Linked DNA regions of Arabidopsis thaliana. The protein of the gene in region 1 binds, or shares a complex with, the protein of each later gene. Each region holds a gene or a part of one and is shown on either strand. Other genes may lie near its edges.

Region 1 (7,944 bases):
CCCGAAATGTCCGAGGTGTGATACCATTGTTCCTTTGCCTACAAATCCTATGAAGAAGAAGCCTAAGATTGATCTCAACATATCAATCTGAATGTTTTGGAGTTTATATTGGAACATTTTTGTAAATGATAGATAACAATTCAGGGGGTTTATTTTGTAAAACTTAAGAAAGAAGAAAAAATTGATGGTAAGGAAGGAAGATTAGAAGGATGTTAATGGTGTTTTTTGTAAATGCGTTAGTTGAACAACAACAAGAATTTTATTTAGAAACATAGTAATTCACGGAATAAATGAGTCAATTAAATGACGACAATTAATGTTACAATTATCTTATTTTCTACTTTTGAATAAACTCGTAGTCCATGGTTGGTTGGAAGGTAGTTTGAATTCATTGTATATGTCCATCTAAATGCACTGTCTTTTTATGAAAAGAAAAAAACTATTATTAATAGTGTTATTTGTCAATTTTGTTATATATTTTAAAAAACTCCTTGATAATGTTTGGCTTGAAATTGTATCCAAATGCCTCTCTTATCTGAGTGGTTATGATTTCCTGAAATTGATGACTACTAATTACTAAATGAAATGAGGAAGTTGTGTTTGCATGCATGCATGATATCTTCAACAAACATGTTTCTCAACCCAATTAAAGATAAATTTTCAATCTCTGTGTTTGGACAAAAATTGATTATAAGAAAAAGGCAAAAATAAATGTGACAACTGTTTAATTTTTTTGAAGGACATTCAATGTTGTAATTTATGTGAGGTTTAACTTTTTAAGGTCATTCAAAGTTATGCTGACCTAACTTCAAATGCTTAGGTCAACAGAGCACACATATTCACATACTATACGAATAACTGCAAGTCTGCAACTAACGTAATAAATCGCGGCTATTAAAATCCGATATGCATGTAGACATGTAGTAGTAAACTTATCTTATTAGTATTTTTTTAAAATGTCAACGAGGTAAGGAAATGTAGAAATGCAAATACTCACGACGAGCATATATTACATGGACGTAATTTCTCCGATATTATACTACGACCGACGAGTAGATGAGTTAGATTTATTACGATAGAATTTATACTAACGGTGGACCTGAAATAATAATATTTCGTAGGTAGTATAGTTTTTGCATTAAACAGTTTTGTATGTGTGTGGCATTAATACATTACTCCGGATGGGATACGTATCGTATAGATTGTATGGTTTGATATTCATCTTTATCCATAACAAAAAAAATCTAGCTAGTGTATATTTTTCGTACGTTACAAGTTTCGAAAATTAGGTTTACGTCTATAATTATATGACAAACATATTTTAAATATCTAAGTCTCATCTTCAATGGAAACTAGTCCTAAACTCCTAAGTTGATGTACGATTTTTTTTCTCGTTAGGTGGATTTCAGATTATAGGAAAATGATATAGAAAAAGAAATAAGAAAAAAAGAAGAGAAATGGAGAAACTCATCCTAATAGAAACGAATTCAATTAATGGGATCGTGACCTCTAATAAATTGTAATTAATGCTCCTGCTACATTTATGAACTTTGGTCATTTCCTTTACGAAAACAATGTAAATTCCACGTGTCAACTTATTTGCCATCTCTCCATTAATTGATTTTGGCATATTTGTTTCATCTCGTGCTTTTCAGGAAAACCACCAAAACAAAATAAGACGAGAAAAACGATATCGTATGAAAATGTGATTTCTCATAGTTACATGTAATTATAAGTCATACGTATATCCGAAAATGTGAACAATTCATTATTTGTCCATGTTTTTCATTATTGAAGCACGTACGACAACGTTTGACCAGCACATTTTTTGGCCCAATATGAATCCCCATAGAGAGATTCTTTTTTGGCCCAATTAAACAGCGGTATAAATAAATGGGCCTAGCCCATGTTGTTTTTATTTTTATACTATTTTATTATTTCCACCCTCTTCACAAAAACCCTAAACCCTAATTTGAAGTTGTTCGATTCGATATCCTTGTGTGTGTGTGCAGACAGTTTTCATTTTCCAATTCCATTACTGCCTCTTCTTTGTTGCTGGTTCTGAGTCAGTGGTGATAATGGGCAAAAATAGGCGTAAACAGAAGGTTATACCTCCACCGCTGCTTCCGCCAGATGTAGCCGAAGAGGATATTGAGTTTTCCGACGAGGATTTGAAGTATGTCAAAGAGAACACAGATTACGCCCAATTCGTCTCTCAAATTGACACCGCCGCTATCAATAAGTGCGTTTACGTCTCTTTTCGAATTGTTTTGCAATTTGGTGATTTTTAGTATTAGGGTTGATTTTACCACAATCAATACTTGCTATGTCCGAATCGAGTTTGAATCTCTGCATTGATAATATCTTGTTACGCTGTTGTTAGGCAATGTGGTGGTAGAGTAATGACAGTGGAGGATAAGTATGAAGAAGAACGATCAAAGAGGAAGACACTTCAGGAAGAGAAAGGGAATGGCGAGATCCTTGTGGATCCTGTTGATGTGCTCCCTGTCAAGACTTTAGATGGAAAACTTCACTATCGAACAGGTGAGAAATGAGAAGACTCTTGTGTTTTTTGTTTAATGGCTCGAGTTGAGTAGCATTCTAAGTGGAGGTTTTTCTGTTTTGTGGCTACTGGTTCAGAGTCAAAGAAGTCAAAACTAGCTGAAGCCGAAACAGATGAAGCAGAGAAGGATGTTCTTGAAGATGAACATGTATTGAACAAATCTCAAAGAAGAGAAAAAGCTAAAAAGAGTAAAAGGGAGGCAAAGAAACATGAGAAAGATTTGCCTGATGAGATATTACAAGAGGAAGAAGAAACTCCCCAAGCCGCTGTTCTGGTATTGCCTGTTTTGAGTTTCTCTTTTTTTCTTGGTTCATTATATAAGTTGCTAAAAATTTCATTGTTCGTTCTTTGACATCATTTTTCATTTTGAGCATCATATTTGATAGCTTTCTGCATCTTCATCGTTTAACATCTTTCCATTAAAAGAATTTATAAGAACGTTTAATCATTGGTATTTGTAATTTGTAATTTGGAGCGTTTTAGTGTTTTCCATATCCATTCATCATGTTTTTTTTTAACGTGTGAATGATTCTCTTCCTTCATCAGGCAGAAGTGAAAGAAGAACTATCTGCTGAAGAGTCATTTGAAAATAAGAAAAATAAAATCGCGGAATTGGGAATGCTACTACTTTCTGATCCAGAGGCAAACATAAAAACTTTGAAGGATATGTTAGATATCTGCAAGGATCAGAATACGAAGATTGTGAAACTTGCCTTGTTATCTCTGTTGGCCGTATTTAAAGATATTATTCCTGGGTAATTTTATTAATCTTCTATGTACCTTTTTTCCTCATTTGATTTGCTAATTATTCTCTTCATTCTCCCCCTTTAATTATGTTGGTAATTAGCTCTTCTTATTTTTTTTGTGGTGCCAGCTATCGGATTAGACTTCCTACAGAAAAGGAGCTCGAGATGAAGATCTCAAAGGAAGTGAAGAAAACCCGGTTCTATGAGTCGACTTTATTAAAAGCTTACAAGGTGTGCATGTCAGTTATATATTATTCTTGATTTCTCTGAGTATAATTGTAACACGTTTTCCTTTGCTTCTGATGTCCTTAACAGTCATATCTGCAGAAGTTGATTATATTTGAAAAGCAGTCAGTATATAACCAAATTGCCAATCGGTGCCTTTGTACATTGCTGGAAGCAGTTCCTCACTTCAACTACCGTGATAACCTGTTAATTGCTGTTGTCAGAAATATCAGCTCCCCAGATGAAGTCGTAAGGTCCTGGTTCTTTTAACCCTTTTTCAGAGTGACGAATAATGTCTAACTGATATACCATGGAATCTAACGTAAAGTAGAACTGTTAATATCTCTTGTGTCATAGTCATGTCATTTTACTGCAATTGCATCCATTTCGTTCCTATCTAACTCATTTCTTGCACCGGTTTGGGTATGCAGGAGACTCTGTTGCTCTACTATCAGGTATCTTTTCTCAAATGAAGGGAAACATGGTGGTGAGCTGACCGTGCAAGCTGTACGCCTGATTGCTGATCATGTCAAAGCTCACAACTGCCAACTTCATCCTAATGCTATCGAGGTATTCATTGGTATTATTTTAACATTCTAAGAACCACACATTTACACACCAATCACTGAGTAAAGGTGTTATAATTGCTCCTGTTTGAAAAACTAAATCACGAAGTTCACATTATCATTGGAAAACATTTTGTAAGACTATTGCAAGCGCTTAATAACTGAGGAGCAATCTGGTTATATTTCTTATCTCTGTGTTTGTTCTCATTTACCCTTGCTTCCATTTTTCTATTGATCCTTAGGTGTTCATGTCCATTCGCTTTGATGAGGATATTGGAAAGCCTAACAAAGAGGATGAACATAACAAGAAATATAAGAAAAATAATAAAAGAAAAACCCAGGAGGAGCAAAATCAAGTGCAGGAAAATGAGAGGAAGAAATCAAAGAAAGATATGATGTCTAAGATCAGAGACGAGGTAATTTACTTTCCTTCTGTGCCATAGATTTGTTGGTGTTTTAATCTTGTTTTCTCTTTCATTGACAACCATTTATATGACCAAAACATCTAAAATTGATTTCCCGTCGTACTATTGGTTTGCTATAAATTGATATTTCTTCATTACTTGTTCTTAGGTTTCTGCTGATCACAGAGGAGTTACCTATGAACCGGATGCTAAGGAGCGGCGAAAGATGCAGACAGAGACACTTTCTGCTGTTTTTGAGACCTATTTCCGTATCCTGAGAAACACAATGTATACAATTGGCGAAAGGTATCTATATATACATTTTTGCAACCATTTTAGCAAATAAATCCTAAAGTTGGACTTATTTACAACCCAATGCCATTAGCATTAAATATTTTTTCCAAAATAATTAACTTTACTTAAAATTTTTAATTTAAATTGTCAATCACATTATCAATCAAATTTAATCCAATCAAATTTAATCCAAACAAAGTTCACATCAATCCCTTAAAATTAGCATAAACGTATTTTATTAACAATATTTTAAAACAAAGTTTTTTGTTTAAAAAATATTGTTCTTACTAAACGTTTTTTGCTTAAATAAACAAATCATGTATTTGAACTTATTTACAATGTCACGCTACTGACATTAATTATTTAGGCATAAAAATATTTATTTACAGATTTAAATCTTCTAAATTTTTGCTTTTAGAGTTATTATATCATTACCTAAAAGGCAAAAAATATTAATTTTTAAATATTATTATTTGTATATTTAAACTTCATAAAACATTATTAATATTTAAATTTATAAAAAGTTTAATCTATCAAAAATAATTAACATCATTATTTAATATATAGAGTTAAAAAAAATCTCAAAAACAAATCGTCATATTTTGTGATTCGAAATTTTATGAATGAACATATATTAACCAATTGGCGAAAAATGTGTGGGTTCAACGTCCCGCAACGACTAAAATATTTTGACAATGATTCATAAACATATTATAAATAAGATCAACATTAATAAAATAAATAGTTTTTTTTTGTTGACGGGTTTGTCAGGACGGGTTTGGCAGGACGTTACTTAGTAACAATGGTAAACTATAAAATAATTTACAAATTTTTATATATATTAATTTTAAAAAATAAATTGTCTCCGCGGTGTACCGCGGGTTAAAATCTAGTTTTCATATATTTTAAAAGCTAATTTAAATTGTGTTTTCAGTTGTCGTGAGTAGGAATTAAATAATGCTTATGTTCTTATCAAAATCTCAAAAGAATATTTCCCCGTCTGCAAAATCGGTTCCAGTAAAATTCTTGGTGTGAATTCTCGTTGGCTTTACAGTCACAGATAACTATTTAACTGGTCATATGTCTGTGTCAGTTATTTTAATTCTATTTTACAACGTCACTTTCACTAAATTTCAGAACAGAAGAAATTCCAACTTCAAATCCGGGTGCCTTTGGATCGCACCCTTTGCTAGCTCCATGCTTGGATGGGTTGGCAAAATTCACCCAACAACTGGACTTGGACTACATGGGAGATCTAATGAACTATCTCAAGAAGCTTGCTTCTAGCAGTAGCAGCGTCTCCAACAACACAAAGCAGAAAAACTCAAAACTGTTGACAGTATCTGAACGCCTTAGGTGTTGCCTTGTCGCCTTCAAAGTCATGAGGAGCAACTTAAATGCCTTGAATGTTGACTTGCAAGACTTCTTTGTCCAACTTTACAACCTCATTCTCGAGTACCGCCCTGGAAGGTTTGTTATAACTTTTTCCTCTTTTTTAACCACGACATAAGTTAAATCTAGTTTAGTCTAAAACACTTTGTGATGTGATACAGAGATTCAGGTGTAATCTTGGCTGAGTCTCTGAAGATAATGTTGTGCGACGACAGACATCAAGACATGCAAAAAGCAGCTGCATTTGTAAAACGTTTAGCCACATTCGCGCTATGCTTTGGATGTGCCGAATCTATGTCTGGTAATAAACATTACAAATACTTTGAATTACACATCGCATTTCCCTTATCTCAAATCTGTCGCTCAGTCTCTCCAATTGTCTTTCTTTTATAGCGCTAGTCACTTTGAAAACTCTGCTTCAGAAGAACGTGAAATGCAGAAACCTTCTAGAGAACGATGCTGGAGGCGGCTCTGTTTCCGGTTCAATTGCAGTAAGTCACAAATATTTAGCCTCGTATACAGATTTAACTTTAGTAATATGATTTGTTGCTTAGCGAAATCTCTCGATTGCAGAAATATCAGCCGTATGCAACAGATCCTAACCTAAGCGGGGCTTTAGCAACAGTGCTTTGGGAACTCAGTCTCTTGAGTAAACATTATCATCCTGCGATCTCAACAATGGCCACAACAGTCTCCAACATGAACACTTCTCAGAGCCAAACATTTCTTTCTGCAGTGACTCCACAACAGGCTTTTGCAGATTTCTCTCTTGTAAAGGAATCGTTTGAGCCGAAGAACGAGTCTCGGAAATTGAACAACAAACGGAAACGGGAGAGTTTGCCTGAAGAAGCTAAGAATGTTCCGGAAATAGACATGGTTAAGCTCAGCAAGAAATTGAAAGAGAACTTTACTATTCTTCGGGATATAAAAGAGGACGAGAGAGTGAGAATGGAGTTGTTGCAGTCTGAAGAGAAAAAACCATTGAAGAAACAGAACAACGTGGTGAAGAAGAAACTTAAGAACCCTAAATCCAAAAAGCAAATTTGAAAGGCTTTTTGTTTTCCCGCTTTAACGGTTATATACTTTGCTTAAATTAAACGCTTCAATGAAATTTTTCGAGTACAATTTTGTTAAAGAGTGAAATCAACAAGAAGAGTATTTTTCATTTTATTCACATCCACCCTGGTAATCCTAAAAACTTGTGTTTATAAGTTATGATGTTCTCGTATATTTTCAGGATTATTTATTCGAACTGATTCTTATAAAGTGGTACCAACATCGTATAAAAATCCATCGTTTATACAAAACAACGTAGTCTTACATGTGCCATAGAGTTGAAAGATACGCAAATCATCCTCTAATCCACTAACAGTTCGCCACAAACCGTTTACTTTGTTATAAAAATAGAGATGGAGATCTCAGCTAATGTATGTTGTACGCTGTGAACAGCAAATTGTTCCCCACAAAAAAAAAAAGTCCAGCCGTACAACGGTACAAGAAGATACGGCCATGTTGAGACCTTTTGTTCTAGACCCCATTTTAATACACCTATAACTATAAGTCTCTCGTCGTTACTACAAGATATTTGCTACTTTATACTATATTTTTTTCGAATTATCATAGGTCTTCAATTAATAAGTACAAAAATTCAATAAAAAATATGTGTAATCATTATAGTGGATTTACATCTTTTCATAGTGTATTATCCACGCAAGACTCACATCGCATCATATATCTGAACTTTTCAATCAATT
Region 2 (6,050 bases), on another chromosome or scaffold:
TCACTACAGAGACATCAAAGAGCTTCCCCCTCACCGTCTAGCTGAAATCCGTCGCTTCTTTGAGGACTGTATCCTACAGAGACATGTTGCATTTAACGTATAATTTTGTTTTCGCTTATGATTTGTTTTCAGTTTTCACTTAACAAACAATGTTTTTAGACAAGAAGAACGAGAACAAGAAAGTCGACGTTGAAGCTTTCCTTCCCGCTCAAGCTGCCATAGACGCTATCAAGGACTCCATGTAAGTTTGTTTTATCCCAAACACCAAATTATTTACACGTTGTTTTGTTAATAATGAGCAATGTACTGTTTTGAAACGCAGGGATCTTTACGCAGCTTACATCAAAGCTGGCCTGCAACGCTAATGAAGAAACCAGTCCTTTTCCGTTCCTCCCGGTTTGCTTAGACATCACTGAAGCCGCCTTCTATACTACATGCATGTTAGATAAAATTTCAATTGGTGCATTTAATTTCGTAATGCTCATCAGAAAACATTGTTGAACTTAAAGCTTTCTGATGATGATGAAAAATTTCCAGTACAATCATAAAATTTGAAATATTAGCTTTTCTTTTCCCCAAAATTTTGTTTAATGTTGTTTCGCAAACATCCGAAAAGTACTCTCATACAAATCGAAGAAGATACAAAAAAAACTTAAGAAGCTACTCGGGCCTTCTTCTTCTTGGTCTTTTTGTAAGCCTTATGCCAGGTCTTATAAGTGCCCTTAGTCTTCTTAGATGTCTTGGTCTCAGGATCTGCAATTTCGTCTACTGCATCATCTTCATCTTTGTCTCCTCCTATATCAAACAGATCCTCTTCCTCTTCATCAGAACTCAACACAAAATCCTCCACAACGTCATCTTCTCCTAAGCCTTGCTCATCCTGCTTCTTCTCTGTTTTACTCTTTCCACCTCTCTTCCTTTTCTTCTTTTTCGTTTTCTCTTCTTCCGGCTCTTTTTCTCTGTTAATTACACATTTGTTGTTTTAGGTTATATCACAACGGTCAGATAAAATATCTACGTTATAGGCGTAGGAGACAACCCGGTTCCCATCCTATCTATATTCTTAAGTTGATAAAGCCACCCATAAATGTCCAAAGTACTAAGAAATAAACAGAAGGCCTTAAAACCATAGACCCGACCAGGCCTAATCTATATTACTTGGTGATATTTGGGGAAGTAATTTTTAACCTACTCGCACCATACACTACCGTTGGCGGTGCTATACCATATGAAACCCCGATATGTGTGCATTTTAAGAGAAAGAGAGACATACTTGGAGTCACTTCCCGGTAACCAAGAAGAATTGAAAGCTGCAGCACCCTTTTCCATCCTATCTTCATCATCTTCATCATCACTGCTTGGTGCGTTTTTCCCAAAGACAGCTGAGTTCTCTCCCACAATTACACTGGAGAAACCAAACGGATTATTAGTATCCGTCAAAGTCATACAACAAAAATATACAAGTGATCAACTTTAGAGGAATGTAACGCACTCAGATTCCACCAGCGATTCGTTTCTTTGCTGGGCTCTTTGGCGGATAATTTCCGCATATTGCAATAGAGGGGTTTTTCCTGCTTTCTTCTCATCCTGAACAGAGAAGACCCAAAAAATAATTTGAAACCATGTTTGCAATCATTTTGGAGTAAACATGTGTTCTGTAATCATAAACAACTTGTGGTATCCCACAAAATTTTCGAAGAATGCAGCAGTAGTTTCAAAGACGGGAAGAAAGAAACAAATATAGGTTTTGTATTATCATCACTAACAATTGAAAAAATCAAATGGATCAAGAGAAATGAGTTACTAAACCTCAAGGAATGATTCAGCAGCAAGATCATTGGGTAGAAACTTAATCAAAGCTCTCTTTTTGTTGACAAATTCTGAGTTAGCTTCAATCTGAAAAGCAAAAGAGAGATTGAAGGAGTCATCAACACACAAGTCAATAAAGTCGGTTCTTTTATTGCAAGTACAAGAGACATAAAGTAAAACCGCATTTCTCTTTTTTTCTCTTTATTACCTGGCTGATGAGTTGCTTCATTTCTTTCCTAAACCTCTCAGCTTTCGTGGATTTGCAAAAGCTACGCAGCCTTATGGTCGGGATAAATGATAGTTCAAAGAAAGCAACGGAACAACTCCACTGAGACAAATGCTCCACAAGCTCCTCCACTACTGTATAAACACATGCCTCCTGAAACGCTCTTGTCTTCACTGCTGGTTTACTTACCTAAAAAGAGAGCCAATATCCAAAATGGTTAGTTTGCAGGATAAAGTTTCATTCTATACTCTATTAGTAAAGACCCAACCACGCAAGTTTTTACCTTCAGTAGTGTGCGTAAGTCTACACCTTTGCCAACACCTCCAGTGGGAGGTCTGTTGAGCTCCTTCATCTCTAACATGTCCACAAGAAGCATTGAGACAGGTATAAAGGTGCCAGTCGCAGCAGCAAGCCTGTTTAGCATACGAACACATCTTAGTCTAAGGGGAGTGTAGCGAGCCGTGGGAACCAGTCGCGCTACACCAGTTATTATTTGGGCTAGCGGATAAGCAACTGGTCTGAGTTCAGACTGAGAGCTGTAGGCACAAACAGCTCCAGTCCAAAGCTCAAGGCAATGGATGAATTTCCATTGATACACTTTTCGAAATGCTTCCTGTGAAAACAACCAAATGTAAATAAGAGTTAACAGCAACTTTTCTCAACACATAATTGTTGTCAGAAGAACTCAATTTATGAAGATTATTGAGAAAGTACTTTTGTTTTTGTGTTAAGCGCTTCACGCAGAATCATTGCCAATTGTCTTATGAAGACAAATGCATGCTGATATGCTGCAGAGATATCTGTGCCGAGAAGCTCAATGAAGCAGTTACCAAGAAACGAAATATGCTTCAATTTATCAGCATTCACAAACTGGCAATTCAACACATACGCTTTGTACATTCCCTTGAAACAGTCATCAACACAGTCAGATCCAAGGCGTATGCACAAATCTCTCAGGAACAACAAGGAAACAACAGGGAGCGCACCACTACCAGTTCCCCAGAAATGAAGTGCAACCTAGATGGCAGAAGAGCAACAATGAAGTGAGCAAAGAAAGGACCATAAAGAAGAAACATGAACAGAATACTATCTTGCTCCAACACACCTTAATATATTTCCTTAGGAGGCTAGGAAAAGCAGCTAAAAAAACCGATGAGTGCTTTAGGCGGCGCAGAGTAAAGGTTATCATTTCTGTGTCGGTCATCTGGTTCAGAACATGAAGGGAATTCCCAAGATATGATTTGACTAAATGATTATAGTTTTTCCAAGGCCTAGTGTTTGTGAGCTCCAATATAGTCTCTTTTGTTCCTCTAGTATCTTCAGGAAACCTTAACAACTTACGAAGAATCCCGTCCATTTCACTCAGAACATATATCATTATCTTATTAAACACCTCACTTGACATAACACTAAACTTTGTCGATTGATCGTCCCCGGTATCATCACCATAGTGACAGGCAGTTCTATAAGCTCTCAAGATAGAACGCACTCCACCTAGCTTCGCTTCATCTTCGATTGATTTACTCCATGCATCAACCATCGATGCTGTAATCGTTTTCTGCACGTGCACTTTCTTTGCAATTTCCATCTTTGTTGCTTCATCATCACCTTCCTTTTCAGTGTCTTCCAGGTCAGTATCAGGTTCAACATCAGCATCATCCTACAAAATGTGAATCCCTAAGACAAAAAGCTTCCAACACAACTGGAAGTCGAGTCACAAACTCAACATATACAAACTAACAAAACTCACCTCAATTTCAGTAGCATCAAACTTTAGAAGCTCTGCATCATGCTCTTTCATATACTGAAAAAAATCAGGATCCTGCGGAACAAAAAAATCCGTAAAGTTAAAAAAAAAACTCAACTTTCCACTAATATATCATTACAATATCGCAACCAAACATGTTTCATAGATGACTCACCTTTTCTTGAAGCCTCTTAAGCTCTTCTTCATGCTCCTCAGCTTCTGCTTTCTTAGATTTCACCTTCTTCCCACGCTTCTTATCGCTCTTCTGCTCCATTACTATATCATGTGCATCGATTTCTTGAACATTATTGAGCTCTTCCTCAGCTTCTAGTTTCTTAGATTTCAACTTCTTCACACGCTTTTTATCATCTACATTTGATTTAAAGTGTTTATCAATCTCGAATCCCTTAAGCTCTAATTACAATATAAATCCAAAAACTGGATAAAAATCGAACCTTTGGCACCCATTTGTTAGCACAACACTCTGATAAATCCACCTGCAATTAAAACCATCAATGGTAACAAGAACAAATCAGTTTAAGAGTCGAGCTAAAAGACAATAGTGTAAGAATTATCAATTCATGGAGAGAATCAATCACACAAACAGTGAAAACAAGGAGAAGAATAAACTATCGAAATCAAAATGAAAGAAATCGCACCGGGAACAACAAGAAGGAAGACGGAGAGAAGAAGAAATTAGGGTTTTAGGAGAGGGTTTTTATTACAGTGTTCCTTTGTTTTTTCTTTCAATTTATTTAACCGGACAAAACCCGGTTTGACTTCGGTCGAACCGTAATTCGAATTGTTCTACTTTCCCAGAACAGAACAAAAACAGAGTTCCCAAATTTGAGAAACCAGAGGGGCACGTTAACGAGAGATTACCTGCAATTCCCAGAAAAAAACTCGACGAGAAAAAATGAAGTTGTTGTCGTGGTCGCCGAGGCTGATGTCTGAGGAAAAGTTTATTGTTTTAGGGTTTATCTTTGTGAGTTTCGAAACGTCTTAGCGCAATGGAAGGTTTAGGTTTGACACGTCTACCAATTGGTTTAACCAAAAATCCAATTTGCGAGTGTTTAACCGAATTATTTAGGCTTTAACCGGCATGTGTTCTTCAAAATCTTTATTCATCTATGTCATCAAACCCCAAAGTATCTTATGCATGACATTTCCCAATCCCTTGTATATTTCAAGTTTTTTTTTGTTTAGTTATTTTCATTTTACCACATTTTTTATTTACTTAAAAGATATCAAATATTCATTATTTATAAATTAAAGTATTTTTGAAAATAACACATATATTATCGAACAATTCTTGAGTTCATCTTTACGATGAATTCTTTTTTTCACTTCCATTCTAAATACTAAAAGCATCTACATTGCATAATCTTTTATTAATGTCTCCAAGACCAACCATGGTAAAAATAGACTAACCATGATTAAAATTAAAAACATTTTATTTTTTAGATGTCTAAAATATCTTAAGGAAGATATTTTTGACATCCAAAAGGAAATGTCTTTAATTTTAACTATGGTTAGTCTTTAAGACATACATGAGAGGTTATGCAATGTGAATGGTCTAATTGTTTTTCATAAATCAAACATGATATATGATCTCGTTTGATTACAAAATCTAAACTCTAATTCTCTTTTTTAAATTCAAACCGATATTTAAACTCGTTTAATTATAAAATTTAAATCTAACCGTTTTTTCTAAACTCAAACCGATATTTAATCTCGTTTAATTATAAAATCTAAATTCTTTTATAAATCTTAACTGACATTTAACCTCATTTACTTGTAAAATATAAACTCGTTTATAAATCCAAACAGATAGCTAATTTTGTTTAATCATAAAATATAATCATTAATCCTCTCTAGTAAACCCAAACGGATATATAATTTCGTTTTGTGATAGATAAATTTTATAGTTAAATGAATAATTTTTTATTAGGTAGCAACATCCGATTAGGTGATTATTTACAGGAAGACTGATTATGGTGGTTTCGTGGTTAAAAGATTCACTATGGTAGTTGAATGACTAACTTTGAGTCTTACTACTAAGATTTCAATCATGTTAGCCACTGTGAACATTTTAAATGGCAAAATAAAAAACTCAATGTTCGCATAATTTATAATATTTTAGTGAACAAAAAAAAATATTGTGTTATTTTTCAAACTTTTTCACATAACTTATATTATTTTGGTCAGTAAATGTTAACAGCTATTTATAAATTTGTGTGTATCACGAATTTCATATCCTTTAAATTT

Evidence for each region. The genes of interacting proteins can lie anywhere in the genome.
Region 2: AT1G79150 (region 1) and AT2G18220 share a complex: the UniProt entries of both Arabidopsis thaliana proteins name them as parts of the nucleolar complex.

What each region holds. Positions count from the first base shown.
Region 1 is NC_003070.9:29,772,009-29,779,952, reverse strand, and holds AT1G79150 (binding protein), read left to right. Parts: upstream 1-1,936; 5' UTR 1,937-2,078; coding exon 2,079-2,242; intron 2,243-2,383; coding exon 2,384-2,544; intron 2,545-2,640; coding exon 2,641-2,837; intron 2,838-3,109; coding exon 3,110-3,318; intron 3,319-3,437; coding exon 3,438-3,540; intron 3,541-3,624; coding exon 3,625-3,788; intron 3,789-3,965; coding exon 3,966-4,104; intron 4,105-4,342; coding exon 4,343-4,516; intron 4,517-4,673; coding exon 4,674-4,810; intron 4,811-5,935; coding exon 5,936-6,268; intron 6,269-6,351; coding exon 6,352-6,491; intron 6,492-6,583; coding exon 6,584-6,681; intron 6,682-6,763; coding exon 6,764-7,237; 3' UTR 7,238-7,443; downstream 7,444-7,944. Other genes in the region: AT1G79160 (filamentous hemagglutinin transporter), read left to right, coding at 1-91. UniProt on the Arabidopsis thaliana protein: May be required for synthesis of 60S ribosomal subunits and the transport of pre-ribosomes from the nucleoplasm to the cytoplasm. Also required for initiation of DNA replication.
Region 2 is NC_003071.7:7,926,454-7,932,503, reverse strand, and holds AT2G18220 (Noc2p family), read right to left. Parts: upstream 4,490-6,050; 5' UTR 4,442-4,489; intron 4,280-4,441; 5' UTR 4,251-4,279; coding exon 4,238-4,250; intron 4,152-4,237; coding exon 3,958-4,151; intron 3,858-3,957; coding exon 3,786-3,857; intron 3,696-3,785; coding exon 3,141-3,695; intron 3,053-3,140; coding exon 2,750-3,052; intron 2,649-2,749; coding exon 2,319-2,648; intron 2,225-2,318; coding exon 2,018-2,224; intron 1,897-2,017; coding exon 1,810-1,896; intron 1,588-1,809; coding exon 1,493-1,587; intron 1,406-1,492; coding exon 1,274-1,405; intron 960-1,273; coding exon 653-959; 3' UTR 551-652; downstream 1-550. Other genes in the region: PPa2 (pyrophosphorylase 2), read left to right, coding at 1-68, 160-241, 323-365. UniProt on the Arabidopsis thaliana protein: Together with SWA2, probably involved in pre-ribosome export from the nucleus to the cytoplasm.